Stegostoma tigrinum: one gene and its partners. The main gene of each other region encodes a partner of the protein of the gene in region 4 in a complex. Links are inferred from orthologs where the notes say so. Each region holds a gene or a part of one and is shown on either strand. Other genes may lie near its edges. The genes, in order: dennd1b; arf-GAP with coiled-coil, ANK repeat and PH domain-containing protein 2-like; rusc2; rab35b.

Region 1 (7,718 bases), on a different chromosome or scaffold from region 4:
TGGACAGGTGTTGCACCTTCACTGGTTACAGGGGAAGGTGCTGTGGGGTTGTGGGGAGTGTTGGGCGCATGAAGAAAGAGTGGACCAGAGTATCCCAGAGACAATGATCCCTGAGAAAGGTGGACAGGAGATGGGAGGAGAATATGTGTCTGGTGGTGGTACCTTCTGGAAGTGGTAGAAATGACGACTGATGATCTTCTGGATGTGGATGCTGGTGGGATGTAGTTAAGGACAAGGGTAAAAGGATCAAAAGATGCTTGCTATGAGAACATGTTTGTTGTGGTCATTTCCAGAGGATAAGTTGGGCCAAGCGGAGGACGGTGATAGTGGATGGATGGGTCCAGATCTTTGCTCCATGAAGAGGCGGAGAGCCTTGAGACCCCCCTGGTGGGAAACGGACATGTAAAGGCATTGTGCGTCCATGGTCAACAGGAGGCAGCTGGAACCTGCAAACTGGAAATTCTAAAACTGGCATAAAGTGTCAGAGGAATCATGGATGTACATGGGCAGGAATTGGGCCAGGAGAGAAAAGACTGGTGATGCTGAAGAGGCATGAAGAGATGAGTTCGGTGGGGCAGGAGCAGGCTGAAACAATGGGTCTGCCCAGACAGTCCTGTTTGTGGATTTTTGGAAGAGTTAGAAGCGAGCTGTGCGGCGCTAGGGGACTATTAGCTTCAAGGCAGTGGAGGAGCTCACCAAATGAAATGAGGTCAGTTACCAAAGCTGATACAATGGCCTGATGTGCCATGGTAGGGTCATGTTCCAGTGGAAGTTGTGAGTAGTTATCTCAGAGCTGGTGCTCAGCCTCTGCATTGTAGGAGTCAGTACACCAGAGTACAACAGCACCACCCTATTGGCAGGCTTAATAACAAAGTCAGGGTTAGATCTGAGTGCATGGAGTACAGTCAGTTTGGAGGGAGGTAGGTTGGATTTGGTGAGGGAGGCAGAAAAATTGAGGTAACCAATCTCACGTCAACAGTTCTCAACGAACAGATCGATTGCAGGTAAAAGGCTGAAGACAGGGGTCCCAGTGGAGGGAAAGTGTTGTAACTGGGCGAAGGGGGTCTGTGGAATGGGGAGAGGATTCCTGTCCAAAGAAATGGTGAAGACAGTGGATGAAGAGTCAACGTCAAGTTGTGCCGAAATTCATTAAGGTGGGGACATAAAGGGATAAAGTACAGAATGTTAAGCATCAGACAGCGGAAGGTTCGGAGAGATGGTGAATAACCAACAGGAGGTGGGGTTGGGGGAGGGGATGAGTCAGGGGGAGGGGAAGAGAGGGTTGGTTCAAATTCTTAGAAACAGTTCAAAATTGTTTCAAAAACTTTAACAGTTATGACAAGTCACTTCCAATCTTCCTGGGAATATCTTCCCACTGCACTTGCTTGTGTGCTTAATAGGCTAATTTAATCTACTTTGCAAATCCTTCAAACCAGAATGAATTTCCTCTGGCTGAAATTAATTTATGTTGGGCTATTACATTTTGGCACAAACTCTGCAAAATTGAATACAAGGCCCTGACTAACATCCATCACATTCGGTTCATGATCTAATTTCCACAGACGGATGGGAGCAGCCAGAAAGATTCTCAACCCCTTTCGATCTTTCATCGTTACACAGAAGGCATCATCATGTCTGGTAAGGTAGTGAAAAAAGTCACACTGCATGAGGAAATGAAGCTACCAACACCCTACTCCTCTTGCAAACCACAAAGAAACAACACCGACTGTCATTTCAACACAACCTCAAAATCCACAACAATTTCAGACCAGATTCAGCAGAAATGCACCAAAAATGTATCAACTCATTTTGGTCTCCAGAACTTCAAAGCTGCATTAGCTAGTGACCTCTTTCCACATTTCATTAGAAATGCTCAGGGAGAAAATTTCCACAGCAGCATTTCAGGTTTCATTCAGCGAGTACGAAAAGTCTATTGTATGAAGTGTGACAGCAGGTGTTCATGGCTGGTTCTCCAATCTTATCTCCTGGCCTGAGTTATGGGAAGAGAACCACTTCTGCTAGTTCTTGTACCCACACTGTACTGCCATTCCTAAGTGGTTTTCCAAATACTGGTATCCTGGTGGAAAGATGTCAAGATCACTTATATGACTGGTGAAAGTCCTCATATTAATAAATTCCAAACACTTCTGTTAAGGAATTTTCAATCATTTCTGGTTTTATGGCCACTCTGTAAACCCAAGTTATTTAAACTGTCACAGACTGGATTATCCTTAGTTTATTTGCTCATTCAGACTGCAGTTTATCGCCAATCATGCAGGTCTGTTTTGCAGATATAGCCAATGGAGAATGGCATTTTTCTGAAGCAAAAACGAGAGACTTAATTATTTTGCCATTTTCCTAACCTGAGTCGTTCTAGTTTTCATTTAGCGTACTGATGAATGAAAAGAACTAATGTAAGAATGTGCACATCATTTAAGATAAAATTGCAAGGAGAAATGCAACCCCCTTTTTGCTTTGCAAACCCGGCAGTGTACAGTATATTCTGGTTAAATGTGAAATGTTCCGCCTTCACGGTCAGCAATCTGATTTGGCAGAGAGAGAGAGAGAGAGAGAATGAGTACAGGCCTGAAGCCTCCAGAAATCAGCAAAACCAGAAACACAAACGCTTCTACTCTGCAACAAAAGCCAATCCTACCAATGATTGTAATGTGCCCCAGCCCCAGCCCCAGCCCCAGCCCAACCAGGTGCTTCACCCTTGTGGAAGTCTCCAGCTCTCAATGTACCCAGCCCAGGATCCCGACCTTCCCCAGTCACTCACTTCAGTCTACAGTCCATGGTTACGGCATCTCGGTGCGACTCCCCCCCCTTGGTGTCTCCTCTGTCTGTCTGTGTCCCAGCCGCCAGGGCAGCCCCAGACGTACAGACTGCGCTGTGGCTAAAAGAGCAGCGCGGCTCTTGATTCGGCTTCGGCTCCTCACTGAACCATTGCCCTGCAGCCGCTGTTCCTCCACCAGGACCTCGCCAACACACACACACACAAGACAAACTAGGAAGTTAGCACTCACTGACAAGAGAAGGTTAACAACGTCACCTGACTGAGTCCAACTACAGGAAGCTCACAAGAGTGATCTCACTCAAGTGGATGAAATGTACGGTGGAATGAATGGACTTAGTTTTGTAACGAGTAGATTGAATCTCGCTGAAAATGAACATCAACATTAGCTGGAGAAAACAAATCAAGCAAAATAAAAACGTCCAGACGGGCGTTCTGTACCTATATTATCGCTGTCTTTTTTTTCGAAATTATCTTCTTCGTTATTTTTCGGGCCCAACTCTGTTTATTTAACCTTAAACCTCAAATCCCAATGTTGCTCAACTCTGTGGCTCGTCTTCTACATCCACAAGGAAGCTTACCGCCACCCCGGCCCCCGAAACGAAAAAGTCATCAAAGTGTTTTTATTTAATAAAAAGCTGTTCCGACCAAATATCAATTAATGCCGAGGAATTTCCCCATAAATAGTCCCAATCGGGCAAATAATGCACTCAATCCTGTGTGACACCGCGTCAGGAGGGCCCCATGTCATCGCAATTTTCTACGAGCGTGTTGCCGTAGTTCTGAATGATGATTTGGCATGTCAGTGTTGGCACACCGATTTCATTACAGCATGATGGGTGTGAAATTGCCCATCCTCTTGCACTGTGAAAAGCAACTTGGATATGAGCTAGAGTTTCTTCCTCTAAATATATGACAACAGATTTTAAACTACACAATCAACGTGCTGTCGCTGACAATAATGCGAACAATATACCATGTGATAACGGCTGGTAAATATCAACTCAGGAAGCAGATTGTCATAACATTAATGCATATATTTGCTCTATTGCATTTTTCTAAACACAGTGTCGACATAGAGACCACAGACTTTTTCTATTTTGATGTCTGTGAAGTTGTCTTCAGACTGCTGAGTTCAGGGATGAGTTTAAGAAATGACTTGCAAGAACCCACATTACACTTACTCAGTATTACTTGACATATTTAAAGATTCACGAGTCATCAAATATAAAATAAAGCAGCAGTTGGAAAGATTTATTAGAATGGGGAATCAAATGCTTAGCAAGAGTTTTAAAACCAGACTTAGAGACAGAATGAACCAAGGAACATATATGACTCAGTGGCTAGCCCTGCAGCCTCACAGTACCAGGGTTTGATTCCAGCCTTGGGCAACTGTGCGAAGTTTGCATATTCTCCCAGCGTATGTGTTGGTTTCCTCTGAGCGCTCTAGTTTCCTTCCTTCCACAGTCCAAAGATGTGCAGGTAAGGTGGATTGTCCATGCTAAATTGCCTATAGTGTCCAGGGATGCACAGGCTATGTGGATTAGCAATGAAAAATCAGGGTAACAGGGATGGGGTGGGAGTGGGTAGGCTGCAGTCTGGGGGCTGGTGTGACTTGATGGGAAGAATGGCTTGTTTCCACACTGTAGAGATTCTGTGATGAAGAGTGGTCCATGAGGCAAAGAAATTGTGAAGGATCTGCAACCTGACTCTATCTATCCAACATTATCACATTTGTTTTTATTCATTCATCGGACGTAGATGTCACTGACTGGGCCACCGTTTATTGCCTATCTGTAGTTGTCCTTGAAAAGGTAGTGATGGAACTGCTACAGTTCCTTTGCTGTATGTAAACCCTCAATGCCATCCAAAATTTTGGTTCAGCGACAGTGAAGGAACAATGATATATTTCCAAGTAAGGATGGCAAGTGGCTTGGAGGGGCACTTGCAGATGGTGTTCTCATGTATCTACCACCCTTGTCCTTCTACATGGAAGTGATCGTGGTTTAGAACCATCGTGAATTTCTGCAATGTATCTTGTAGGTACATACTGATGCTACTCAGCATAAGTGATAAATAGTGGGAAAGAATATTTGTGGATATGATGATTTTACTTGGATGGTGTCAACATTCTTGAGTGTTGTTTCCAGGAGTTTTTACCCAATCTGCCTGAAAATCCACAATGGGCAGCCAAGCAAAGCATTTTAAAGGACAATTGATGCCTAATTGCCTGCAGCAATATAGTCTCCTGTATCAACTGACCTCATAAATGGAGCCTCAAGGTTGAGTCAGGTATAGCCAAAGCTAAAGGAATTCTTGGATAACAATGTGTAGAGCTGGATGAACACGGCAGGCCAGGCAGCATCAGAGGAGCAGGAAAGCTGAAGGGCTCAGACCCGAAACATCAGCTTTCCTGCTCCTCTGATGCTGCCTGGCCTGCTGTGTTCGTCCAGCTCTACACCTTGTTATGGCTAAAGGAATTCTTGCTCTCTCCACACTGATTGTGCAAGCAGCTCTGAGCCTTTTCACCACTTCCATTTTGATGCGCCATTGTAGTTCCTATCTACCTCAGTAGTGTCCGCCTCTCTCAATGTGGCAAGAGTCAAGATATTCTTATGTTATCTCCCTTTGCACCAGCGACATCCATATCCCAGCTGTTAGCCTTTATTGGAGCGAATATGTTTTCTTGACCTGTTAATTGGTTGTCCAGGATGCACCTCTGACATGAGTACTCACAAATGGTTCCACCAACTTAATTTTTTTTAAAGTAGAGCAGATTCCACCCTTTGTGTGTTTCCAAAATTCATTCCTGAAAGGTCTGACTAATCATTAACTGCACTGTCCTACACTTGACAACTGGTGGAATTTATTTCAATGAATCTGCCCAACTATTCCTTCAATATCTTTCAATCTTTGATCATTAGAAAATAGTCCATGCTTGTATTCTTCCTACCAAAGTGCATAATCTCACATTTCCTCACATAGTATTCCATCTGCCTTTTCTTTGCCTACTCTTCTCACCTGTCCAAGTCCTCCTGCAGTCTCCTCGCTTCCTCAGCATGACCCACGCCTCCAAATATCTTTGTATCACTCGCAAACTTAGCAACAATGCCCTCAGTTCATTTGTCATAATCATAAATGTGTAATGTGAAAAGTGTGGTCCCAATTGTGGAAATCCACTAAACACTGGCTGCCATCCTGAAAAGCCCCCTTTGTCCTTGCTCTTTGAATCTGGCGGTCAGCCAATCCTCTATATATGCCAGTACCTTGCCTTTAACATAATAGGCTCTTGTATTATTTATCAGCATCCTGTGCAGCACCTTGTCAAAGGCATTCTCGAAATCCAAATACATCATGTCCACTGACTCTTCTTTGTCGAACTTCTTTGTTACCTCTTCAAAGAATTCTAACAGATTTGTCAGGCGTGACCTCCCCTTGATGAAGCCATGCTGGCTCAGCCCTATTTTACCACACACTTAAAGTATTCTGCAATCTCATCCTTGATAATGGATTCTGAAATCCTAACAACAATTGAAGTCACATTAACAAGCCTATAGTTTCCTATATGCTGCCTCACTCCCTCCCACCTTAAATAGGGGTGTTAAATGATCCATTTTCCAGTCCTTTGGTACTGTCCCTGACTCTAGTGATTCCTGAAAGATCACCACTACAATCTCCTTAGTTATCTCCTGCAGGACACTGGGTGGTCCGGTCTGGGTGATTCATCCACCATCAGACCTTTCAGTTTCCCCAGCACCTTCTCAGTGATAGCCTCTACACTCACCTCTTCCCGGTAACTCTCTTGAAGTTGTGGTATGCTGCTTGTGTCTTCCATATATAAACTCTTGCAAAGTACCTATTCAGTTCCTCCACCATTTCTTTGTTCCCCATTACTACTTCTCCGGCCTTGTTATCAAGTAGTCCATTAAGAACTGTTGCTTCTCTCTTCGATACTTAAAAATAACTCTTCCAATCTTCTTTTATATCACTAGCCAGCTTAATCACATATTCTCATCCCCCATCCCCATTGCTTTTTTAGTTATCCTCTACTGGTTTTTAAAGGCTTCCCACTAATCTTCACCACACTGTATGTTTATTGTTTTGCTTTTGCGCTGGCCTTGACTTCCCTTGTCAGCCATGTTTAATTCATCTTCCTCTTACTGTGCTTCTTCCTCCCTGGGGTGAGATTTCAGCTGTGCTCTGGAAATACATCCAGAAACTCCTGCCATTGCTGCTCCACCATCTTATGTCGTAGAATCCCTCCAGTGTGGAAACAGGCCATTCAGCCCATCAAGTCCACACCAACCCCTCCGAACCACTTCCCTACGTTTCCCATTGCTAATCCACCTAGCCTCCACATCTCTGGACACAATGGGCAATTTAGCATGGTCAAGCCACCTAACCTGCACACCTTTGGACTATGGGAGGAAATTGTAGCATCCAGAGAAAACCCACGCAGACACGAGGAGAATGTGCAAACCGTGCACAGACACCTAAGGGTGGATTCAAACCTGGGCCCTTGACACTGTAAGGCAGCAGTGCCAACCAGTGAGCCACCGTGCTGCACCTTCCTCGCAATATTCCTCTTCAAGTCAACTCTGGACAGTTCCTCCCTCATGTTTTTGTAATTGCGTTTATTCAATGATTATACCATTACATCTTCTCCCTCTCAAATTTCCTCATGAATTCTATCATATTAAGGTCACGGCCCCCAAGGTATTCCATCACCTTAAGCCCTCTTATCAAGTCTGCTTCGTTACACATCACTGTTCCCTAGTGGGTTATGCCACAAGCTGATCCAAAAAAAAATCTTGAAGACATTCCACAAATTCCTTTTTTTCAGCTTCACAACCAACCTGATTTTTCCAGTCCACCTACATGTTGAAGATCCCTCTTGGTGATTATAATAAGGTCTTTCTTGCAT
Region 2 (7,034 bases), on a different chromosome or scaffold from region 4:
ACAGGGCCACAAATATTTTGATCAAGCAACCAGTCTTAAGCATACTATTCTTAAAAACAAAACTACGAAAGGAATTTGTGGTTCTATGTTAAAGTAATGAGAAATACATTGCAGCCAACAATCAAATCTGAAATCTCAACGTGACATTCCCCATAAATTGTTCAACTTTGGTCACTTGCAATTTAAGTCATTCTCATTGGAGATCATTGCACTACTAAAACAGGAAATATTTTAGTTCCACATTTATAAATTCAACAGGCAAAGTAAGGAATTTACTTTCAAAGCTAATGAAGAAAACAATGCAAAATGGAAGCCATGTTTCTTGGTTATTCCTTTTGCTTGCCCAATCACATTTTACTCTAAGCAGTCGCCAAAACAAAAAAAAATCCATATACACGATTGAGACACTGAAGAAATTAACAATGCCCTTTGTACTGCAGCTCTGGAGTTTAAAAAAAACAAACAGATAGGTTGAGAATATTTGCACATTTTAGCTCCTACTGCACATGATCACACATGCCAAACTGAATAACCACCTCATGGTAAAACAAGTGGCATCAGATGCTGCAACGTGTATATTGCCATTAGACAAACTAATGTTTCTTCTGAACGTACGATTATTTGGCCAACATACAACTTGATTGCAAGAACTGGTGTCAACACGGACAAAGTGAATTATCAGCTGAACAATAAGATTCAGAATCAGATGAGCAGATTAAATTGCACTTCAGAACTGAATACAAAATACAGACTAATCAATCAATACCATGAATGTCCTTGCCAACGAAGAGCCACAATCAACACTGCCAAAAAAGTGAACACAAGAAAGTAAGAAATAGGAGGAGTAGGCCAATCGGCCCTTCGCACCTGCTCTGCCATTCAGTAAGATTACAGCTGATGTTTTCAGACTTAACCACGAGCTCACCATAACCCTTAATTTTTTAAGGTTCAAAAATGTCTTTACCTTAGAAAGATTCAACAAGTTAGCCTCAACTGCCTGGATTCCAGAGATTCACAACCTTTTGGGTGAAGAAGTTCTTCCTCAACTCAGTCCTAAACCTGCTCTCTCATTGATGTTACACCCCCTAGTTCTAGTTTCACCCAGCAGTGGAAGCAGCATCAGTGCTTCTACCTTATAGAAATATAAAAATTATGAAGAGAATGGATAAGATGAACACCCCACATTCTTCTAAATTTCATTTAGTGTAGACCCATTCTTAATCTCTCCTCATAAGCCAATTCTCTCAAGTCCAAAATCAGCCTAGTTAAACAGTCTCTGCACCTCCTCCCACACCAGTATATCCTTCTCAAATAAGGAGTCCAAAACTATGCACAGCACAATATACAGTTGCAGCATAACCTCCTCGCTTTTGCACTCCATCCCTCTAGCAATGAAAGACAACATCCAATTTGCCTTCCGATTACCTGCTGCACCTGCAAAGCAACTTATTGCCATTCACACACAACAATGCCCATGCACAGCAGCATGCTGCAATTCTTCATCATTTAAACAAGTCCACTTTGCTGTTATTCCTACTAAAACAAAATGGCTAGCCTCACATTTACCAACATCATGGTACATCTGCCAGACCCTTGCCCACTCATTCAACCTATCCATATCCCTCTGCAGGCTTTCAACATCCTCTGCACACTTTGCTCCATCACTGATCTAAGTGTTATCTACAAACTAACACTTTTCACTTGGTCTCCAACTCAAATCATCCACGCAAATTGTTTACAATTGCAGTTCCAACACTGATCCCTGAGGCACATCACTCACCACTGATCGCCAACCAGAATAAACACCCATTTACCCGACTCTTCCTTTCTGCTGGTTAACCAGATCAATGTTGTTGTTTTAATGAGCTCTTGCTATGCAAGATGGCTGCAAAATTATCTACATTAACAGTTAAAATTAGTTCAGAGCTGCCGTGAAAAATTGAAAGGTAGCTGAAATTAGACTGTTTACCAGAGGAGAGGCACAAACAGATTGGTTAAGCTGAACACGTTTGCATGCCAGTAGCTATATTTATGTAACATAAAAACTTCTCTTTCTTCACTTTCATGAAGTCAAATTCACAGTAAACTCAAAGTGACTCTTTACTTAAAATCAATAAAGAATCATGTCTACAGATGTGAAAGATCAGACTGGATGCTAATCCAAAGCAAGAAAACACAAGTGAATTTTATTGTTTTCAGAGCAAAAGTTAGAAATTTTAAAGATTAAAAACCTTCCAACCTTTTAGAATTGTAAATTCAAGAATTATTCCCAAAACATTAAATGCATCTTAATAATAATGTCAATGACATCAAAAAAATTCAGACATCAAAAACTTTACAGTAGCTGATTTTAACAATTTCAGCCATACAAACCTCATAATGAGTGTATTATAGATACCTGTACCAACCAACATTGAGAAGTGTTAGAACAAGAATGCAAATCAAGGATAATTGGATTGGTAGCACAAGGACCATCCCATCCCTTCCCTTAAAAAAAACTGCTGGGATCAGACATTTACACTATAAACATGAGCGCATAAGATGGCCAAAAACAAAAGACAGCTAACTTTATAGAAAAAAACTCACAAAACTTACAAAGCTTACAATTAAAATTTAACTGATTATTACTTTGGATACGCATACTACGTAGAGTTTGCTGAAATACGATTTAAAACAGCGAAGGAAAAACAAACGATAAACAAGATCGAAATGAAGCACAGATCCTCCTTTCCAGCTTTACAAACAGAAGCACTCTAACACGACCAGATGGGAGAGGCATCCGGAGAGGGAACTGAGCGACAAGGCATTCCTGCCCACAATGACCAAGGATCATTACTGGAACAACGGCCTACCTGAAACGTGGAGAGTCGTTCAGACATTCATCGAAATCCACTGTCAACTTCATAGCGCCTGGACACAACCTACCACGAACCACCGTCCTCGCTCGCCGTCCGCCGTCTATCTAACGCGCAGCCCCTACCCCCACCCGCTACTCACTCGCTCTCGTGCAGCCGGGCACACGAGCGCTGTGATTGACAGCGATCTAACCAATCAGAGCTGCCTCGTCCAACCAAGGCAACCAACCATGTGGCGGAAGTGGCAACAGCCGCTCTCCCTGCGGGGAGTGAGTCCACAGGCCAGTCCGACCCTGTCCTGATCCAGTCCTGGATTCGGCTCGGGGTCCGGTTCCGGCTCGGGGTCGAAGTCCAGTCCGGGACTCAATGCAGAGCTAACACAATGTGGAGCTGGAGGGACACAGCAGGCCAGGCAGCATTAGAGAAGCAGGAAAGTTGACGTTTCAGGTTGGGACCTTTCTTCGGAAATGGGCTTTAATATAGGACTCAAATGCAAATGACAGTGATTTATCGTCAAGAGTGTTCACCAAAACAATCGAGTGGGAAGAGGAAAAGGTAAAATATTTACAAATAAATGATTTTACGAATGATCGAATGAGTACCGTAACAGTAAATAAAGGTTACCATTGTCGCCATCTGTTGGGACATTTCCATAGTTTGAGGTGTATCTTCTGGAGTTCTGAACAAGACCATCTCTTATTGAATAAGAACAGGAAGTGCTGGAGAAACTCAGCAGGTCTGGTAGCATCTATGCAGAGAAAGCAGAGTTAACGTTTCGAGTCCGAGGTCACCCGGCAATTTCTGCTTTTGCTTCAGAATAGTTGTTTTTTATTTTTTTTTAAACAAACTCTTGTTTTGTTTTGTTGATTGGCTTAAAGGTATCTAGCTCACAGAAGTCTTTTTTCGTTTTAGATATTTGCGTAGTTACTTAATTCACAAACCATTCAAAAGTGTAAAGGTTCCAATGAAATCGCAGATCTGTTATACATTGGTTCTAACAAATTCCCGAACTTGGACAGAATGGAAAATGAAGTAGAAAAGTGAATAATGATATGCTTTTAAACAGGGTTGCAGTCAATTGGACAGTAAAATACTGGTCTAAATTTAGAATAAGATGTTTGACGTTACTGAAAAAAATATTTCTGGGAAAAAATACAGGTCATACGCAAAATCTAAACAATAGCTTTAAGATTGTTTATTATTGCCCCCATTATTCAACACTTATGTTAACAATAACATTAATGTTTACAATAAATCATGAGCCAAACTTTTTTGGCTCCACATAACATGTATGACATATAACATAAAACAGCATTGCAATTAGTTCTCACCAGTAGAAAGACTTGAAGAAAGAAACATAATGAAAGTTAACTTCCATTTTCATGATTTCTTATGATGGAAAAGTCATTATGTAGTTTGCAGAATTATATTGGTCTTGTAATGTCTGCATTATTTCAAATGTACACATTTTGCACAATGCTATGCAGCTGCAGTGTGATTTCCTATGCCACAATATCAGATAGTAACAGATATGAGAAGGCTTTTGACCAGCTTCATTCAACACTGCAGAGACCTAATCCCACCAGCATCGACCAACACTGTCCATATTTGTTTCTTAAAATATCTTACTTATATTGCCAACTGCCTCTCAGAACTCTTATGCATTGATCAATCTTGGTCTAAAAAGAATTTCCTGCTTTCAGTTAAATTAACCTTTTGTCAAGTTTATGTCCCTTTATCTTAGTGTCAATATGAAAATGTTATTCCAGATTTAGCTTTTCCATGATCTTACCTACATAATAAATATACACACATGCATAGTAGTTCACAAACAAAACTTGCATTGTGGCTGGACTAATTGGGCCACTTTTGAAATACTGCATGCAATTCCAGTCTCCCTGCTATAGGAAGGATGTTGTGAAAAATGAAAGGATTCAAAAGAGATTTACAAAGATGTTGTCAAGGGTTGGAAGGTTTGAGCTATAGGGAAAAGCTGAATTGGTTGGGGCTATTTTTCCTGACGCATGAGAGGCTGACCTTATAGAGGCTCATAAAATCATGAGGGGCATGGATAGGGTGAACAGACAAGGTCTTTTCTGGGTGAGGGGGTGTGGTGAGTCCAAAATTAAAGGGCACAGGTTTAATCTGAGAGGGTAAAGATTTAAGAGAGACCTAAGGGGCAGCTTTTTCACGCAGAGTGTGATGCGCTTGTGGAATGAGCTGCCAGGGGAAGTAGTGTAGGCTGATACAATTATAACATTTACAAGGCATCTGGATGGGTATATGAATAGGAAGGGTTTAGAGGGATATGGGCCAAATACTGGAAAATGGGACAAGAATAATTTTGGATATCTGGTCAGCATGGACAAGTTGGACAAAAGGGTCTGTTTGTATGCTGTAAAGGTCTATGATTCTATAACAGGATTGACCTGTGTGCAGTTGAGTCTGATTGTGTGTATGTATGTGTCAATACAATATCTCCTTTAAGGCAAGGTGATCTGGAGATTATACTGAAAGATGGTTAATTGGTTCCCTGTTTAAGACAGCATTAAGTTCCAAGAATTGCCCCATTGGCCCCTCCTTGTAAAGGGGATGATTAGTGAGGAAACAAGGGAACGGAGGACTACAACATTGCAAGAACATATATAAGTAACAACACACGCCGATAAGGAAACTCTAAGCCTCTAGTCTTATTGTCTTACTGGAGGCAGTACTATAACCGAAAATACTGCCCAACCTGATTGTTACCTAGGCCAAGTTTTCCCAGAACAGAGTTAAAAATGTATCTCTTGGAATTTGGACAGGTAACCCAATTACAAGGGAAAGACCCTATCACCAAATTTAGTTTATTTTTGATCAAATACCCATTTTCTATGTTTCCTTTTTATTAGCTAACACCAGAAGATTCATTCAGTATAGATATTTCACCTAACCTAAATCATTAAATTCATTACCGTTGAGCTGTTAGTATCAATTACCTACACTTCAAACTCATTCTGAACCTAACACTTTCAAGCATCAAGGTAATATGACTTTCTTGTTTGATGGATACCCTTACTTTCCTTTAAGGTCCTGAACTTGCATTAAGTAGAGGTTGAAGTTGCATCCCCTCATAGAAGTAAGAACAAATTATCCTTTCCTTTTCCGGGAATGAGGTACTGATGACTGTATCTAAGAAGTGTCTCTGAACAGATCAGTAAAAATAAAGATTTTCACTGCACAGTCAGTAAGGAGCACAGTCAGTTTGAAGGAGACTTCACTTGAGTCAGACAAAGGCTGAGTGGTGAATTGGAAATTTAATTCAAGTGGGAAATTGATGCAAAGGGCAGCAGAAGTGTTTTATCTAAGGGTTTACTGCAAGAATTAAGTGCTATAGAATGAAAGGTGACTGGTAGGTAATAAAAGGAGTGGATCAAGAGGTCTAACTGCAGTGATATCAGAGACAGATGGATGTCATGAACCACAACATGAAATGAGAATGTGATTAGTGAGTAGAATTGATGGCTATTTCTGGACTTTAAGAACAGAAAGATGAAAAACACTGGATACCTGAAGATATTGTTTCTTTAGAAAAAAAGAGAGAGCTGGGTAACTATAAAGTTATAGTGGTAATTTTTTTAAAATCTGAAAATATCATTACAGTGAAGTAATTAGTTTATAATTTAACTCATTACATGAGAGTTGGCAGGACAGGTGACGTGTAGCTGTAGCATGTGGAAGATTCTGGGCACCAATGTGAACCAGAGTGAACACATCTTTAGTAAATATTTGCAGTTCAGAGATTTTCAGATCCTTGTTGACGTGCTGGACTCTCAGCTATGATATTGCACCATATCAGGGAAGGGGAGAGTTACCTGAAGGCATTGTTCCAGAAAGTGATCCCATCCCTGCAGACTAGATAAGTCAAATTTGTCCGTGACCTGTAATAACCACTGGGGAAGGTATGGTGTTGCAGGGGTTGCATCTGAGGCACCTTGGCCACTGAATTTGTCCAACAGCTACAAAGTTCTTGTAAGCTGCATAAACATGAGTAGGGGCTGCTGGGAGAATGAGTGAGTTGACCACAGCACTGTGGTCCAGGAAGCCATTCAAGTGAGGAGAGAAAATATAAATGTAGTAGTGGTAGGGGACAGCATAATTAGGGGGCTAGATCATTTCTCTGTAGCTGTTAAGAGGGAA
Region 3 (7,228 bases), on a different chromosome or scaffold from region 4:
ATGCTTTTATTGGTGACTCAATGAATGATCAAAGTCTGTGCATGAGAACAGGGTGGCCAATCAGGAGTAGATTCAGAGGACCAGGAAAGCTGACGTTTCGGGCCTAGACATACTCCATGCTGATGTGTTGCCTCTTGGGTCTAGGCCCGAAACGTCAGCTTTCCTGCTTGGCCTGCTATCCAGCCCTACACCTTGTTGTTCTCCAGCATCTGCAGTTCCTACTATCTCAGGAGCAAGTTCAGGTTAGTATGTTCTCAGGTTTTTGAATGACTAAGTGAAAATCACTGCTCCATGAAAAGGACTCAGCAACAAAGCAGGGATTATTATGTAGGGCAAACTTTGGTCAAAATCTTAGAATTCCCTACAGGAATTCCTTCCAGCAGTTCAAGAAAGCATCTCAAGGACAACTCAGGACAGGCAATAAATGCTGGCCAGACTGTGATGCCCACATTCTACAAATAAATAAAAGAAAAATTCCATTTCCATTCTAATGGGCTAATCATTGAAGTGAAAGAAAACAACTACCTCCACTTACAGATACTGTTAGTGGAGGATGACACACCTGCACACTACTGTTCCCTCCAAACCTTGGGAGATCTTCCAATACTCATTCAATGTGCTTTGTAAAATTTATGAAGCATATCGAAAATCTTGGGCACAGAATGAGACAACTGCCCCAAAAATATCAATCCAGTCTACCCAAAGTAGCCATAGATATAAAACAAAGAACTGTGGATGCTGGTAGTCTGAAACAAAAGCAGAAATTGCCAGAGAAACTCAGCAAGTCTGGCAGCATCTTTGGAGAGAAAGCAGAGTTAATGTTTCAAGTCCACTAACCCTTCTTCAGAACTGCAAGGACGGAGAAGATTAACAGAAGAATGCAATTCTAATGGAGATGTAAGAACAGAGACCTAGATTGTATGAATTATTGAAGATGGTTAAAAAAGCATACAGGATGCTGGATTTTATACATAAGGGCACAGGCCACAAAAGTAAAGAAGTAATGATGCATATTTTTAAAACACTATCTTAACATGTTAGAAATTGGGGTCTCTTAAAATAATGTTCTCTTTGTATTCAGTACTTAGCATCTGCTGCATAGCAAGAAACTTCATTTTAATTCTGTTACAGAATTAACCTTCCATACACATTTACAGAAGATTTATCAGGCAACACGCTATTTGACCCCATATGAAGCATTTTGGAAAATACATTTTTGTTCTTAGAAGAAATGAAAACTAATGCTCAAATAGAGGCAGACAAGGGTAAATCATCCTGGCACCATGAACAGCTGCCCATGATCACTGGCTGAGAGAGCTTAGACAGGTGATCGAGGCAGCATAGATTACAGCCCCAAAAATATCAGCGGTGTGGGGTATCGTAGACATCGAGGCTTTATTTTGAGATTGTAATTAAATGTGTTGAATAATTCTCAAGTAAACTGACAGCTTGAGCAGCACCAGGGTGACTACTACTTCCGCACAACATGAGGGACCCAGGTTCGATTCCAGCTGTCTTTGTGGAGGCTGCACTTACCCGTGACTGTGTGGGTTTCCTCCAGGCGCTCCAATTTACCCCCACAGTCCAAAGATGTGCAGGTTAGATGGATTGGCCACGCTAAATTTCCCATAGTGTCCATAGATGTGCAGGTTAGGTGGGTTAAATATAGTAAATGTGGGGTTACGGGGGTAGGGTGGGATGTTCTTCAGAGGGTCTATGCAGACTTAATAGGCCAAATGGCCTCTGCCTGCACATTAGGGATTCTATATGATTTAGAGATAGCAGTTTATGAGAAAGTTTGATTCTGAAAACCAGGGCAGCTGAAGCAAAAAATATATTAGAAGTGGTAGATGTTTGTGATGTGGATTACAAGTCTATTCTTTATAGACTTTCAATGAAGGCTCAGAAGGGTAAGATCAAACTTTTTTAAAAAAGTCTGGAAAAAGGTGACCTACTCAACCAAATGTGCACCTTGCAGCTAAATGAAAATACAAGGAGTCCAAGGAACAGGTTCAAAGTGGAAGTGGCAGCTTACATACTCAATTAAGGCAGGAGGGAGAAACATGCAAACAAAGCACACTATTAAAAAGAAACAAAAAAAATTCAAACATGATACAGAGTTACATGCAGAGAATGCATGATTGCAGGATAAGGTAAAGGATGAGTAAATCAGAGAATTAATTCAGAAAAAAAACTTTGCTTCCCCTGAAGCAGACCACATTCCATATATAGACAAAGTAAACAATCTCCAGAAAGAAATTAGCTAAGCAATTATTTCTGCATTCTCAGCCAGTAGAATAAAGTGACCATGCTGAGATAGCAAGTACAAGAAATGGTTTCCTTGGTGATTTCAGGCATCGCTGGGACAATGTAGTTGAGAGCAATCCTTCCTCTCTTGTATGGTGAACCAAAACTGGTTTGTATGATCACAAAAGCCATGGTTAAAAACTAAGCAAGAGGGAAGCAAAGAATGGCCACCGGGTAAAGTTAAAGAGGAGTTCACAAATGCATACAGACCCGTCACCAGCCCAGGCTAGGACCATGAGGGAAGAATTACAATAAATTTTTGACTTTATCTATCATCACGTGTACCGGAGTAAAGGAGTACTGTGCAAGCGTACAGGCTCGCCATTCTCTGGTGTCATTTTAGAATATAATAGTTAGAACTAAAAACAAGAAACAGAAGTTAAAGAAACACAATTGAAAGAAAGAAAAAATGTCCAGGTCATCCTTACTGCTGCTGCTGCTGCGAGTCTTGAGCCAGGCTCATCCATGCTGCCCACGCTGGACCCACCAACATTGCCAACGCCACGACCTCAAATTCTGCGCCTCACCGCCACCTGCAAAGGACCCACTAACTTTGAATTCGCCATGCTTCGATGCCATTACTCACCCCTGGGCCCAACTCGCAGACGCCAACATCTTGGAATCAATTGCAATATCAGACTACACAACCTTCCTGAATGTCCCAAAACTTGCTGCTGTCGCCGATGTCACCAGTTTCACCGCTGCCAAACTCCCAGAGGGATAAGGTGAGAGAACTATAAAGAGCAAAGTAGAAAGAAAACAAAAGCAGAAATGGACAGAAGAAAGCAGTAGATGAGCAGAAGCCCAAACACCGCTACTCCACGTCTGTCATCTTGACATAGATATGGGAGTAGACATGAGTGACAATATTCTTCTCCTCAGACCAAAGTGTTTAGAACTTCACATCTGGATCTAGAGTGATGCTTTTAAATGATCCCCCACCTAACTGCTCCCTATATATTAGAAGAACTGAATAGGGATATTATGGCAGAAGACCTGCTTAAGGAATTAGAGTAGTACGCACTGGAGGAAGCAAACCTTGCTTTTCACCAAATATTAATTTTTACAAATATCAAACTAAAACCCTACTAAAAGTCCCAGTGTGTTTGCAAAGAGGCTTCAATGCTGCTACCAAAAGACCCGGTCAGCGGAAAGGGAGGAACCCAGACGGTTGCGGGGAGAAGGGCAGTGAATCCTGTGACTTCTCAAGTTTCAAATGCTTCTCTCTGAAAGTTATTGTGCATTTGGTGTACATGCGATGGGTTGATTGGTGTGCTAACATAGCATGAGGACTGGTGTGTAATAACCTTTGCAGCAGTTCCGGAAATGCTAACCTACCAGATGTTAAGAGCTCCTTGCCCAACCAGAAGTCTGGATCACCTAACAACCTTGCACAAATAAGGGGTATAAAATTTCGTACTTCCACTGTAATCACCTGAGTCCTTACACTCATGGCTGCCATTGTAAACAGGTTTTTGAACAGCCTGACAAGGAGAACAAGTTCTCCATTCTACCTCCTTTACACGAGTTCCACCCAGTCAAACTGTGTTCAGAGAGAATAGAGGTAGCAATAAAGCCCGTGAGGATCAGACAGGGAACTTGGCAGGTTGTCAGTAGTGACCCAAACCTTAGGCTGTTATAACTCTTGTAGGCCTCCCAGGTGGAAACGGTGCCTTCTCTGCTATACAATGGCTGTGGAAGACCAATACTTTGTCTTGTTGATAGGGGAGTATTTCAGAATTAATGTTAGCCGATTACCCTGCGACCACAATCCAGGACCCCTGCCCCGACTCCTCAAAACTCACCCAAAAACAAGATGCTGTTCATAAGCCTCAAAGATTTAAAATTGCTTTGAGGAAAATGTTAAAAAGCTTAGATTGGTGTTCGAAAATATGATGAACACCTATTTAAAATGCGCATTTATAAGTTTCATGAAAAAAAAAATGTTTGACGTGTTCCCAAAAAATATAATTAAGCTAAGGTTTTGCAGACATTCAATTTGAACACTCCATTTGTTCCGGTTTTCAAGAGAAAGAAACTGTAAAGTGATCTGAGCAAAAGAAATGCCAAAATGAAGAGCAACATGACATCATTTGGTGAATGTTACATCTCGATCTTCCTCAGAACAGCACAGAAAGTTAGCTCTTTCTCATGAGTTGTAAGATTTTAAAAACTGTCTCTTTATATATCCTTAGATCTGTAATTTTTGTACAGGACTAAATTTTGGACACTCCCAAATTGATAGATATCTTTGGACATTATTATCCCATTGAGCTTCTTCCAGAGCCACAAAAACCACTTAGGAACACAGAGAGACACTCCAAGAGTCTAATGGATTTGGGAATTTACCTAGGAATATCAAATGCAAAAGGTTTTCAGAGACTGTGCCTTGGCCAGTCTGGCCATCTGTTATCTAGTTGTAGCTCCAATACAAAAGCATAATTTAAAGCCATCAAACATGAACATAACTATTTCTGAATAATGCTTCAGTTGATGCATTACTGCTGGGACTGAACTATAGTCAGGGGCACTGACAATAACTGGTATATTAGGTTGAGTTTTGTAAATTAAATGGCAGTGCAGTTCAGCAGCCTTAAACTTGAAAATGCTGTATTCCTTTGAAAAAGGAGCAGTGTGAGCCAGGAAACAGTGGGCTGCACGGAATGAAAAGAATTTAAAAGCAAAGCTGTTTTGGGCCCTTTTCATAATAATAACTTTAAACAGGCTGCATAAATTTTGTTACTTCACAGAAGCAACCAATTAATGTTAACTGAAGTACTCGAGTTGTCTCAGTCTTATTTTGTCATACTGATTATCCGACATTCAGTACTACAAGGACAGACTCCCCCGCCAACATAGGGAAGATTATCACTCTGTACAGTCACTGTCTGTGTCAACAACTGAAGACAGTGGCAATCTTCCCAACCGGTCGACTCAGTTCTTTAGTGACTGACTTCATCCTGTTGTTAGCAACTGAATGAAGCTGAACCAGACCGCCTGCAATCATGGCTGCTCATTTAACCCTATAATGAGTTTCAAACCAGTTAGTAACTTTGCAAACGGCACTAAAATTAGTTGCATTGTACACAGCGAAGAAGGTTTTCTAAGATTACATGGGGATCTTGATCAAATGGGTCAATGGGCTGAAAAATGACAGGGGGAGTTCAATCTGGATAAATGCATTTTGGTACAACAAACAAGGGTAGGGCTTGTACAATTAATGGTTGGGCCTTGGATACGCTAATAGAACAAAGGGACCTAGGGGTGCAAGTACATAATTCTTTGAAGTTTGCGTCACATTTAGAGAGGGTGGTTAAAAAGGCATTTTGCACACTTACCTTCATTGCTGAGTACAGGAGTTGGGACCTCATGTTGAGGCTTCACAGGACATCAGTGAGACCTTTTCTGGAATACTGTGTCAAATTCTGGTCTCCCAGAACAGGAAGAATATTATTCAGCTGGTCAGGGTTCAGAAGAGATTTACCAGGATGTTGCTGGGTACGGAAGGTGTGTGTTATTAAGAAAGGCTGCTTAGGCTGGGACATTTTTCACTGGAGAGATGAGGTTGCAAGGTGACCTGATTAAAGTTTATAAGACAAGGTATAGACAGAGTTAATGATAGTTATGTTTTCCCTAGGAAGGGGGAATATCAAACAAGGGGGCACATTTTTAAGTTGAGACAGGAGTGATTTAAATAAGATACAAGTGACAGATTTTTTTTGATAGAGAGTGTGGAATGAAATTCCTGAGGAAGTGGTGGATACAGGTACAATTATGACATTTAAAATACATTTGGATATGTACATGAATAAGAAGGATATGGGCCAGGAGCAGACAGGTGGGACTAATTTAGTTTGGGACTACATTCAACATGTTCTGGTAGGAATGAAGGGTCTATTTCCATGCTGTATGATTCTATGACCATGCTTGTCAGCTTCCAACTTTGTAACATTGTCCAAATATGGCCTTGATTCAATTTCAGCTGACCGACTTTAAGCCTCTCATTCGTTGTTTCCTTATTTCAATATCTATTCCAATGCTTTCCTGGCTAGTTTCCAATTTTCTTTCATAAATTGCTTGAGATCATCCAACATTCTACTGCCAATGTTCTAAATCAAGAAATGGTCTGGTTCATCCATCTTACTGATGTACTCTAGCTCCCCATTAGGGAACAAATTCACTTTAACATTTTAAATCCCCAACTTGTCTAGTGAGAAAAAAAGCTAGCTCTTCAAAGCTATTATGTCTACATGAGGAGTTTGCAGTATAAGTCCAATGCTCATCCCTCTGAAACCATCATTGAGCCTTTATAGAACAAAGAAAATTACAGCACGGGAATGGGCCCTTTGGTCCTCTGTGCCTGCGCCAACATGCTGCCCATCACAACTAAAACCCCCTACCCTCCCTGTTTGTATATTTGTCAAGACATCCTTTAAACATTGCTATAGTATCTGCTTCCACTACCTCCCCTGGCAGCGAGTTTCAGGCACCCACCACCCTCTATGTAAAAAAAAACTTGCCTCATACATCACCTTTAAACCTTGCACACCGCACCTTAAACCCATGGCCCCTGGTAACTGACTCTTTAACCCTGGGAAAAAGCTTCTGACTGTCCACGCCCTTCATAATCTTGTAGGCCTCTATTAGGTCACCCCTCAACCTCCATTGCTTTAGTGAGAACAACTCAAGTTTCTCCAAACTCTCCTCCGTAGCTAATGCCCTCCATACCAGGCAACAGCCTGGTAAATCTTTTCTGTGCCCTCTCCAAAGCCAGCACATCCTTCTGGTAGTGTGGTGACCAGAATTGAACACAATATTCCAAATAGAGCCTAATAAGATCCTATAAAGCTGCAACATTACTGACCAATTTTTAAACTCAAAGCCCTGGCTAATAACAGCAGGCATGCCGTATGCTTTGTTG
Region 4 (6,943 bases):
TAGCACCAAAGTCACAATCAGTTGCCAGGTAAAAGTCTGATTAGGGAACAGATTTGTGGTGATGACCAAAGACAAATGGCTTTGCACTTCCAATATTTAGCTGAAGGAAATTTCTGCTCATATACCTGATGACTAATGTAGCAATTTAGAGACAGTTGAGAAAAGTACTAAAGTGAGTAAACACGTGGATAAATGTGAAAATAATCTTTCTGTCTTAATAGTTAAATGTAATCAGTCTGTGTGTGAAAACTGACACTTGTTGTGGAAGCTATTGTCAAGAGCAGCATATGAATTTGAAGTAGAATACAATGAATAGACCCCTGGGGGACACCAGAACTGATGTTGCAGAAGTGGGAAGAGAAGCTGACGCTCTGGCTATGACTGGATGAGCAAGAATGGGTAAAGAACAGGATTGCACGAGTGCAGTTTACAAAGAAAAGAAACTGGCATTATCTTGGTATTCTGGGTTAATCCTGGAATAGTGTGCAGTTTTTGATATTTTCTAATCATCACTATCTAATCATTGTTTTATTACACCCCGGGAACAGGTGGGACTTGAACTGAGATAACAAAGTATGGAGCTGGATGAACACAGCAGGCCAAGCAGCATCTCAGGAGCACAAAAGCTGACGTTTCGGGCTGAGACCCTTCATCAGAAAAGGGGTATGGGGAGAGGATTCCGAAATAAATAGGGAGAGAGGAGGAGGCAGACCGAAGATGGATACAGGAGAAGATAGGTGGAGAGGAGAGTATAGGTGGGGAGGTAGGGAGGGGATAGATCAGTCCAGGGAGGACAGGCAGGTCAAGGGGGCAGGATGAGGTTAGTAGGTAGGAAATGGAGGTGCCACTTGAGGTGGGAGGAGGGGATAAGTGAGAGGAAGAACAGGTTAGGGAGGCAGGGACGAGCTGGGCTGGTTTTGGGATGCAGTGGCAGGAGGGGAGATTTTGAAGGTTGTGAAGTCCACATTGATACCATTGGGCTGCAGGGTTCCCAAGCGGAATATGATTTGCTGTTCCTGCAACCTTCGGGTGGCATCATTGTGGCACTGCAGGAGGCCCATGATGGACATGTCGTCTAAGGAATGGGAGGGGGAGTTAAAATGGTTCGTGACTGGGAGGTGCAGTTGTTTATTGTGAACCGAGGGTAGGTGTTCTGCAAAGCGGTCCCCAAGCTTCCACTTGGTTTCTCAAATGTAGAGGAAACCACAACGGGTAGAGCGGATGCAGTATACTACATTGGCGAATGTGCAGGTGAACATCTGCTTGATGTGGAAAGTCATCTTGGGGCCTGGGATGGGGGTGAGGGAGGAAGTGTGGGGGCAAGTGTAACACTTCCTGCGGTTGCAGCGGAAAGTGCCAGGTGTGGTGGGGTTGGAAGGGAGTGTGGAGCGGACAAGGGAGTCCCAGAGAGAGTGGTCTCTCCGGAAGGCAGACAAGGGTGGGGATGAAAAAATGTCTTTAGTGGCCAGCCCAGCTCGTGCCCGCCTCCCCAACCAGATCTTCCTCTCACCTATCCTCTCCTCCCACCTCAAGCCACACCTCCATTTCCTACCTATTAACCTCATCCCGCCCCCTTGACCTGTCCGTCCTCCCTGGACTGACCTAACCCCTCCCTATCTCCCCACCTATACTCTCCTCTCCACCTATCTTCTCCTGTATCCATCTTCAGTCTGCCTCCCCCTCTCTCCCTATTTATTTCAGAACACTCTCCCCATCCCCCTTTTCTGATGAAAGGTCTAGGCCCGAAACATCAGCTTTTGTGCTCCTAAGATGCTGCTTGGCCTGCTGTGTTCATCCAGCTCCACACTTTGTTATCTCGGATTCTCCAGTATCTGCAGATCACACTATCTCTGGGACGTGAACTGACTCAGGCAGCGACACTACCACTGCACCATAACAGCCCTTTGGTGGGCAATTTTAACAGATGAAAACAGGATTCATTCATTCTTCATGTCAAAAACGAGGAGCCTGCTCCTCTTATCTCAATGCCTTATTCCTGTTTTCTCCGTATGCTTTTAAAATCTAAGAAAAACTATCTATTTCTTGAATTTGCAGTAGCCTCATCTCCACTGCCTTCTGTGGTAGAGAATTCCACCAGTTCACTACCATTTGAGTGAAGAAATGTTTGAAATGAAGAAACTGCTCCAGTTCAGCCTGGGTGCAGGATGCAGCATCAATTGATGTAATAGTGGAACAATTGGGGAACAGTACCAGTATAGTACTGAAGAGGGACTGTTTGACATAACGGGCAAAGAGGCAGGCTTAGCTGGGGCCCATGCGAGTGCTCATGGAAACCCCCTGGATTTGGAGCAAGTGGGACGAATTGAAGGAAAAGTTATTGAGGATGAGGACTAGCTCGGCAAGGCACAGGAAGATATGGGGTGGGTGGCATTTGAGTGGATCTGTTGGAGAGGAAAAAAACTGAGGGCCTGTAGGCCATTCTTGTGAGGTATGGATGTGTATGCGAATTGCATCGTAAAGGTGAAGTGCTGGGGGCTACAGAACTGGAAGTTTCTAAAGAGGTGGAGGTCGTGGTTTGTGTCCTAGATGTCAAGGGGGGGGCGGTGATGGGGGGTAGTGCCTTGACTAAAGGGGAGAGAATGGAGTCGAAGTAGGAAGAGATAAGTTTGGTGGGGCAGGAGCATGAGGTGACAACGGGTCAGCTAGGGAGTTGAGCTTGTGAATCTTGGGAAGCAGGCAGAACCAGACAGTGCAGGGTTGGGTGACAATAAGGCTGGAGGCAGTGGAGGGGAGGATACTGAAAATGCAAGGGCCTGGGTGTAATTTTGCACAAAACCCTGAAAGTTAGCACATGGTGCAGCAAAAGTCAGGGAGCTTATGGAATGTTAGCCCTTATTTCAAGAGGATCAGAGTATGAAGAAATCTTATTGTAACTGGTGGTGAGACCACATCTGGAGAACTGTGAGCAGTTTTGGTCCCCTTATGTAAGGAAAGATATTATTGAAGGCAGTTGAAGGAAGGTTTACTAGGATGATCTCTGGTATGAAGGGTTTGTTTTATGAACAAAAATTGAACAGGTTGAGACTCTACTCACTGGATTTTAGAAGAATGAGAGGTGATCTGATTGAAACATATAGCTAGGATTCTTAGGTAGCTTGACATGGTAAAATGCTGAGGCCATGCTTCCCTCATGAGAGAGTCTAGGTTCAAAGGGCATTGTCCTGGAATGAAGGGGTGCCAATTTAAGACTCAGATGAGAAGGAATTTCTCTTCTCAGAGGGTTGTGAGTCTTTGGAACTCCTTGCCACAGAGAGCTGTGGAGGCGGAGTCCTTGTAAGGCTCAGCTTGATACATTCTTAATTATTAGGGGAAACATGAAGTAGATTTGAGGGGCTAAATGGTCTACTTCTGTTCCTATTTCTAACGGAATATATTGCCTGAGTTTAAGACGGTTTTAGCAAATTCAGTTCAAAAGTTAATTGGGTGTGCTGTTGAAGAGAAATTGGTTGGGAGGTACAGGGAAAAGTGGGTGGGAATATGACTGGAAACCGCTGATTTTCTCTTGCAGAAATCCAGCAGGGTTTGGATAGGCCGAGTGGTCTTTTGTGTTAGTTTACCTGGTTCAGAGTAACATCTGTTTTCCTGGGAGAGATCGCGGTCGCAGAAGCATCACGTCTAGAAGGAATCTGAAACTTTTTCAACCAGATGCTCCAAGTCCCGACAGGTAAAAACCAAACCATTAAGAAAACAGCCAAGACCCGCGGAGCTGACATTTGCCGGAAAAAGTCGAACACCTGGGACTCGCAGCGACGGAGCCGGAAAGAACCGAACGCCGGGGCCTCGGAGTGAAGGTGCCGGAAATAGCCGAACATCTGGCCCTCGGAGAGACGGGCGCAGCGCGACTCCGGAAAAAGCCGAGGTGATGGAAGCCGGTGCTATTTCCGGAAGGCGGGTGTACTCGAGTAATTCCGGAAAGAGCCGATCATAGCGGGAGCCGGATAGTCGCAGCCGCCCTGCACAAACAGCCGGAGGAAGCGGCGTCGCCACTGAGAGACTGAACCGAGCTGTCTGCTCAGCGCCGCTGCCATGGCCAGGGATTATGATCATCTCTTTAAACTGCTCATCATCGGGGACAGCGGTAAGGAGCAGCCGGGGAAACCGAGCGCGGCGGCGACAGGAAACAGGCCGGGCCCTACGTCTGCACAGGCTGAGGAAGGGGAGCCAGAGGCAGCCAGGCCGCAGCCGACTGGACAGATACTTTTTTTTTTGTCAGAAGTCGAGTTTTGAGAAGGGATTTGCGGCGCTCCAGTGAACATACCTGGGGTGGAGGACCGGAGATTATCGAGCTCCTGAGGTGGAAACAGACAGGGGAAACATGGGTGGAGGTTGTGGAAGTAGGGATAGGGAGGGAGTCTGATGGTAGAGGCTGGGTGAGGGTCTGGCTTGGCAGGTGGGTAGGATCAGGGAGTCTGGGGTTGGGAATGGAGGGAATTAGCCCTGAGGTTGGAAGGGGACAAGTCTAGGGGAGGGTCGGGGTGGTGTGATAGGGGAAGGAGCCTAATAGGCAGGGGGAGTCTCGGGAGTAGGGCTGTTGTGGGAGGCAGTCTGGGGAGCATGGAGGTTAGGGAAGGAGTCTCTGTGGGCTGAGTTCATTGTGGTAGTCTCAGTTAAGTGTTGGCAACTAATGATTGTGCTTGTGTGTTGGTGAGTGTGAGCAACACCAGGAGTAGTGTAAGGGAATCTTGGAATCATAACAGCAGAGAATGATGCCACTTATCCTGAGCTGCCCAGGCTTTCTACAGACTGCTTTCCAGCTTGGTTAGCTGCACTGCAATTTTTTTTCCTGCTCTTGTATTCATCTGAATGTCTTTGGAATGTCACAATTGAATCTGCCTCCACTATATACTCAGGAAGTGCAACACAGATACTAACCAGTTGCTGTGTGGGGTGGGGGAGGCTCTTCCTAATGTTGCTATTGGTTCCTTTTTACCAGTCAGGTTAAATTGGTTTCCTCTGCACCCCAATTTCTTTTGCAATAGAATTGTTGAGAACTACAGCACAAATAGAGGCCCTTCGGCCCAGCATGTCTGTGCCAGTTAGGTGGGTGTTTTTAACTTTAAATTCCATCTTTTACCATTGGGAAAAGTTTGTGTTCTCTACTGTGTAGACTTCTCATGATTTTGAGTACCTGTATCAAATCTGTTCTGAATCCTGTCTCCAAAAGAGAAGATGCAGCTTCTCTTAGTCTATCCCACTTAACTGAAGTCCTTTGTCCTTGGAGCCATTCTTGTAAATGTTTGCTGTGCCCTTATAAAGTCTTTGCATCCCTTCTGAAGTCTGTGAGGGGTAGTAGTTGATGCTGGAACCAGTACATTATGAAGGTTCATCAAAATTTTTATTTGCTTTGTATTCTATGCCTTTAATCATTAAAGCTGAGAATCTTGTATACCCTATGAACTGCTATCTGTGTGCCTTGTTGCCACCAGCAATTTGTGCACATTAAACCACATGTCTCTGTCCATGCACCATGTTAGTTCGGTTTATATTGCCGCCTCTTGCCAAAATGTATCACCTTGCTGTCCTGCATTAAGTTTCATCTGCCTTGTGTCTGTGCATTTTGCCAGCTTGTTTATTTCTACACTCTCCATAGTTCAATTTGCATCCAAGTTTTATCACTTGTATTTTTTTTTAAATTGTGCCCTGTGCAACTAAGTTTAAGTCATTGATTTTGATCACCAAAAAGTGGTGAGTTAAATACCAGTGGGCAGTTGAGCCAAAAGACCAGGCCAGAGTTTGAGGGGACCTGGGAATGAAATCAGTGGATCTGCTTCTTTGACTTCTCTCCCTAGGGTAAGTCAGTGTTTGAGAGTCTAGCTATTGAGCAAGTTTGAGTGAAGGTATCCAGGGGTTATCTGTGTTCTACACGCCAATCTGTGAGATATAGTGACAGTATGTCGGTGAGTGAGAGAGAACGTCCAGCATACCAATCCATCCTGGTTCAAAGAGTCTTAAAATTTCTTGTGCAGAAAGAGACAATGCTGGCTTTTGTAATGAAAGGTGCACAGGCGTCTGTCAGATATGTTTCAGAGATGGGAGCTCTTCACCAATTCCTGATATTTTAGTTAACGGATTTGTAAGTGGAGACTTTACTGGCTTAGCTTTGTTATTAGGTTGATGTGCTGGTCTTCTAGAATATACATTAGTGATGTGAAGATATCTTTGTTTTAAGAGTCTGAACATGATACTGTTTTGCATTGTCCTGTTTTGGAAAAAGAAATTGTTAATACCAAACAACGTGCATTTATATAGCGCCTCTAACACACAGCATTTCAAGCCATTTGATTTTTGGCTGACTGTCTCATTAACATCAAACCAAAGAATGGAGTAGGTTTTTTTCTGCGATTGGTTTTAAACGTGAACACAGTGGGGAATTCTATTTTAAGGCTTAGACAACTTGGGCATAATTTATAATGTGCTTAACCTTGAGAGAGTGAGAGATGACACGGATTACTTGGGAGTAGAGTTTGTCATGGCAGCTGCAGATCGTGGCTTGAGCATCTGTAATATTTAATTGGAGAAAATCCCTCTTACCCAGAACTGGTTGTCAAACAAGACATCTTTCGGGTGTGGGAGGCAAGTGCTGGGGGAGATAGAGGTAGGTGTTCACGGTCTGCTTGTGGAACTTGACTCTGCTTTTGTTGTCACTGAGAGGTGCCATGCAAGGAACATAAGAACTAGGAACAGGAGTAATCCAGCCCTTTGAGCCTGCTCCTCCATTCAGTAAGATCATGGCTGATCTTTTCATGGACTCAGATCCACTTAACTGCGCTCTCGCCGTATCCTTTAGTTCCTTTATTCTTCAAAAAAAAATTCTACCTTAGCTTTTAATCTCCTTTAGGGACAATCTCCTTTAGACATCTCCTGAGGTGATATCATGAAAAGAGAAGCCATTGTAGGAGATTCTCTGGCTAAAATCAAGAAA

The links.
Region 1: the proteins of rab35b (region 4) and dennd1b are in contact, whole or in part, in a crystal structure (PDB 3TW8), measured with the Homo sapiens proteins. The link is inferred for Stegostoma tigrinum from reciprocal best matches to the Homo sapiens genes RAB35 and DENND1B. Residues at the interface, in NP_006852.1 of Homo sapiens: Lys10, Leu12, Ser17, Ser36, Tyr37, Ile38, Thr39, Thr40, Ile41, Gly42, Val43, Asp44, Phe45, Gln60, Trp62, Thr64, Ala65, Gly66, Arg69, Phe70, Arg71, Thr72, Ile73, Thr74, Ser75, Thr76, Tyr77, Arg79, Gly80, Thr81; in NP_001182144.1 of Homo sapiens: Met1, Arg4, Glu43, Ser47, Phe51, Val72, Leu73, Thr74, Asp75, Ile76, Glu77, Ser78, His211, Glu212, Arg213, Arg214, Gln242, His243, Ile244, Ile246, Leu249, His252, Leu253, Asp255, Tyr256, Cys258, Ala259, Pro260, Met261, Pro262.
Region 2: the proteins of rab35b (region 4) and arf-GAP with coiled-coil, ANK repeat and PH domain-containing protein 2-like are in contact, whole or in part, in a crystal structure (PDB 6IF3), measured with the Homo sapiens proteins. The link is inferred for Stegostoma tigrinum from reciprocal best matches to the Homo sapiens genes RAB35 and ACAP2. Residues at the interface, in NP_006852.1 of Homo sapiens: Arg3, Asp4, Tyr5, Leu8, Ile41, Gly42, Val43, Asp44, Phe45, Ile47, Lys58, Gln60, Trp62, Phe70, Arg71, Thr72, Ile73, Thr76, Arg79; in NP_036419.3 of Homo sapiens: Val715, Ala718, Asn719, Ala720, Asp721, Val723, Thr724, Arg727, Leu728, Arg730, Met731, Glu734, Met735, Ser738, Glu748, Thr749, Gln751, Arg755, Asp756, Gln759, Met760.
Region 3: the proteins of rab35b (region 4) and rusc2 are in contact, whole or in part, in a crystal structure (PDB 6IF2), measured with the Homo sapiens proteins. The link is inferred for Stegostoma tigrinum from reciprocal best matches to the Homo sapiens genes RAB35 and RUSC2. Residues at the interface, in NP_006852.1 of Homo sapiens: Asp4, Tyr5, Leu8, Phe9, Lys10, Ser22, Leu26, Asp30, Ile38, Thr40, Val43, Asp44, Phe45, Lys46, Ile47, Lys58, Gln60, Trp62, Thr76, Arg79, Gly80, His82; in NP_001129471.2 of Homo sapiens: Val997, Lys998, Asn1001, Asp1005, Val1008, Thr1013, Arg1015, Lys1020, Glu1119, Glu1155, Leu1158, Leu1159, Gln1161, Pro1162, Leu1165, Leu1166.

The regions. Positions count from the first base shown.
Region 1 is NC_081361.1:37,117,154-37,124,871, forward strand, and holds the start of dennd1b (DENN domain-containing protein 1B), read right to left. Parts: upstream 3,010-7,718; 5' UTR 2,797-3,009; coding exon 2,780-2,796; intron 1-2,779. UniProt on the Homo sapiens protein: Guanine nucleotide exchange factor (GEF) for RAB35 that acts as a regulator of T-cell receptor (TCR) internalization in TH2 cells. Acts by promoting the exchange of GDP to GTP, converting inactive GDP-bound RAB35 into its active GTP-bound form.
Region 2 is NC_081367.1:42,733,683-42,740,716, forward strand, and holds the start of arf-GAP with coiled-coil, ANK repeat and PH domain-containing protein 2-like, read right to left. Parts: upstream 3,019-7,034; 5' UTR 2,906-3,018; coding exon 2,853-2,905; intron 1-2,852. UniProt on the Homo sapiens protein: GTPase-activating protein (GAP) for ADP ribosylation factor 6 (ARF6). Doesn't show GAP activity for RAB35.
Region 3 is NC_081354.1:131,899,536-131,906,763, forward strand, and holds the start of rusc2 (AP-4 complex accessory subunit RUSC2), read right to left. Parts: upstream 3,007-7,228; 5' UTR 2,894-3,006; intron 1-2,893. UniProt on the Homo sapiens protein: Associates with the adapter-like complex 4 (AP-4) and may therefore play a role in vesicular trafficking of proteins at the trans-Golgi network.
Region 4 is NC_081379.1:44,705,675-44,712,617, reverse strand, and holds the start of rab35b (ras-related protein Rab-35b), read left to right. Parts: upstream 1-3,943; 5' UTR 3,944-4,047; coding exon 4,048-4,099; intron 4,100-6,943. UniProt on the Homo sapiens protein: The small GTPases Rab are key regulators of intracellular membrane trafficking, from the formation of transport vesicles to their fusion with membranes.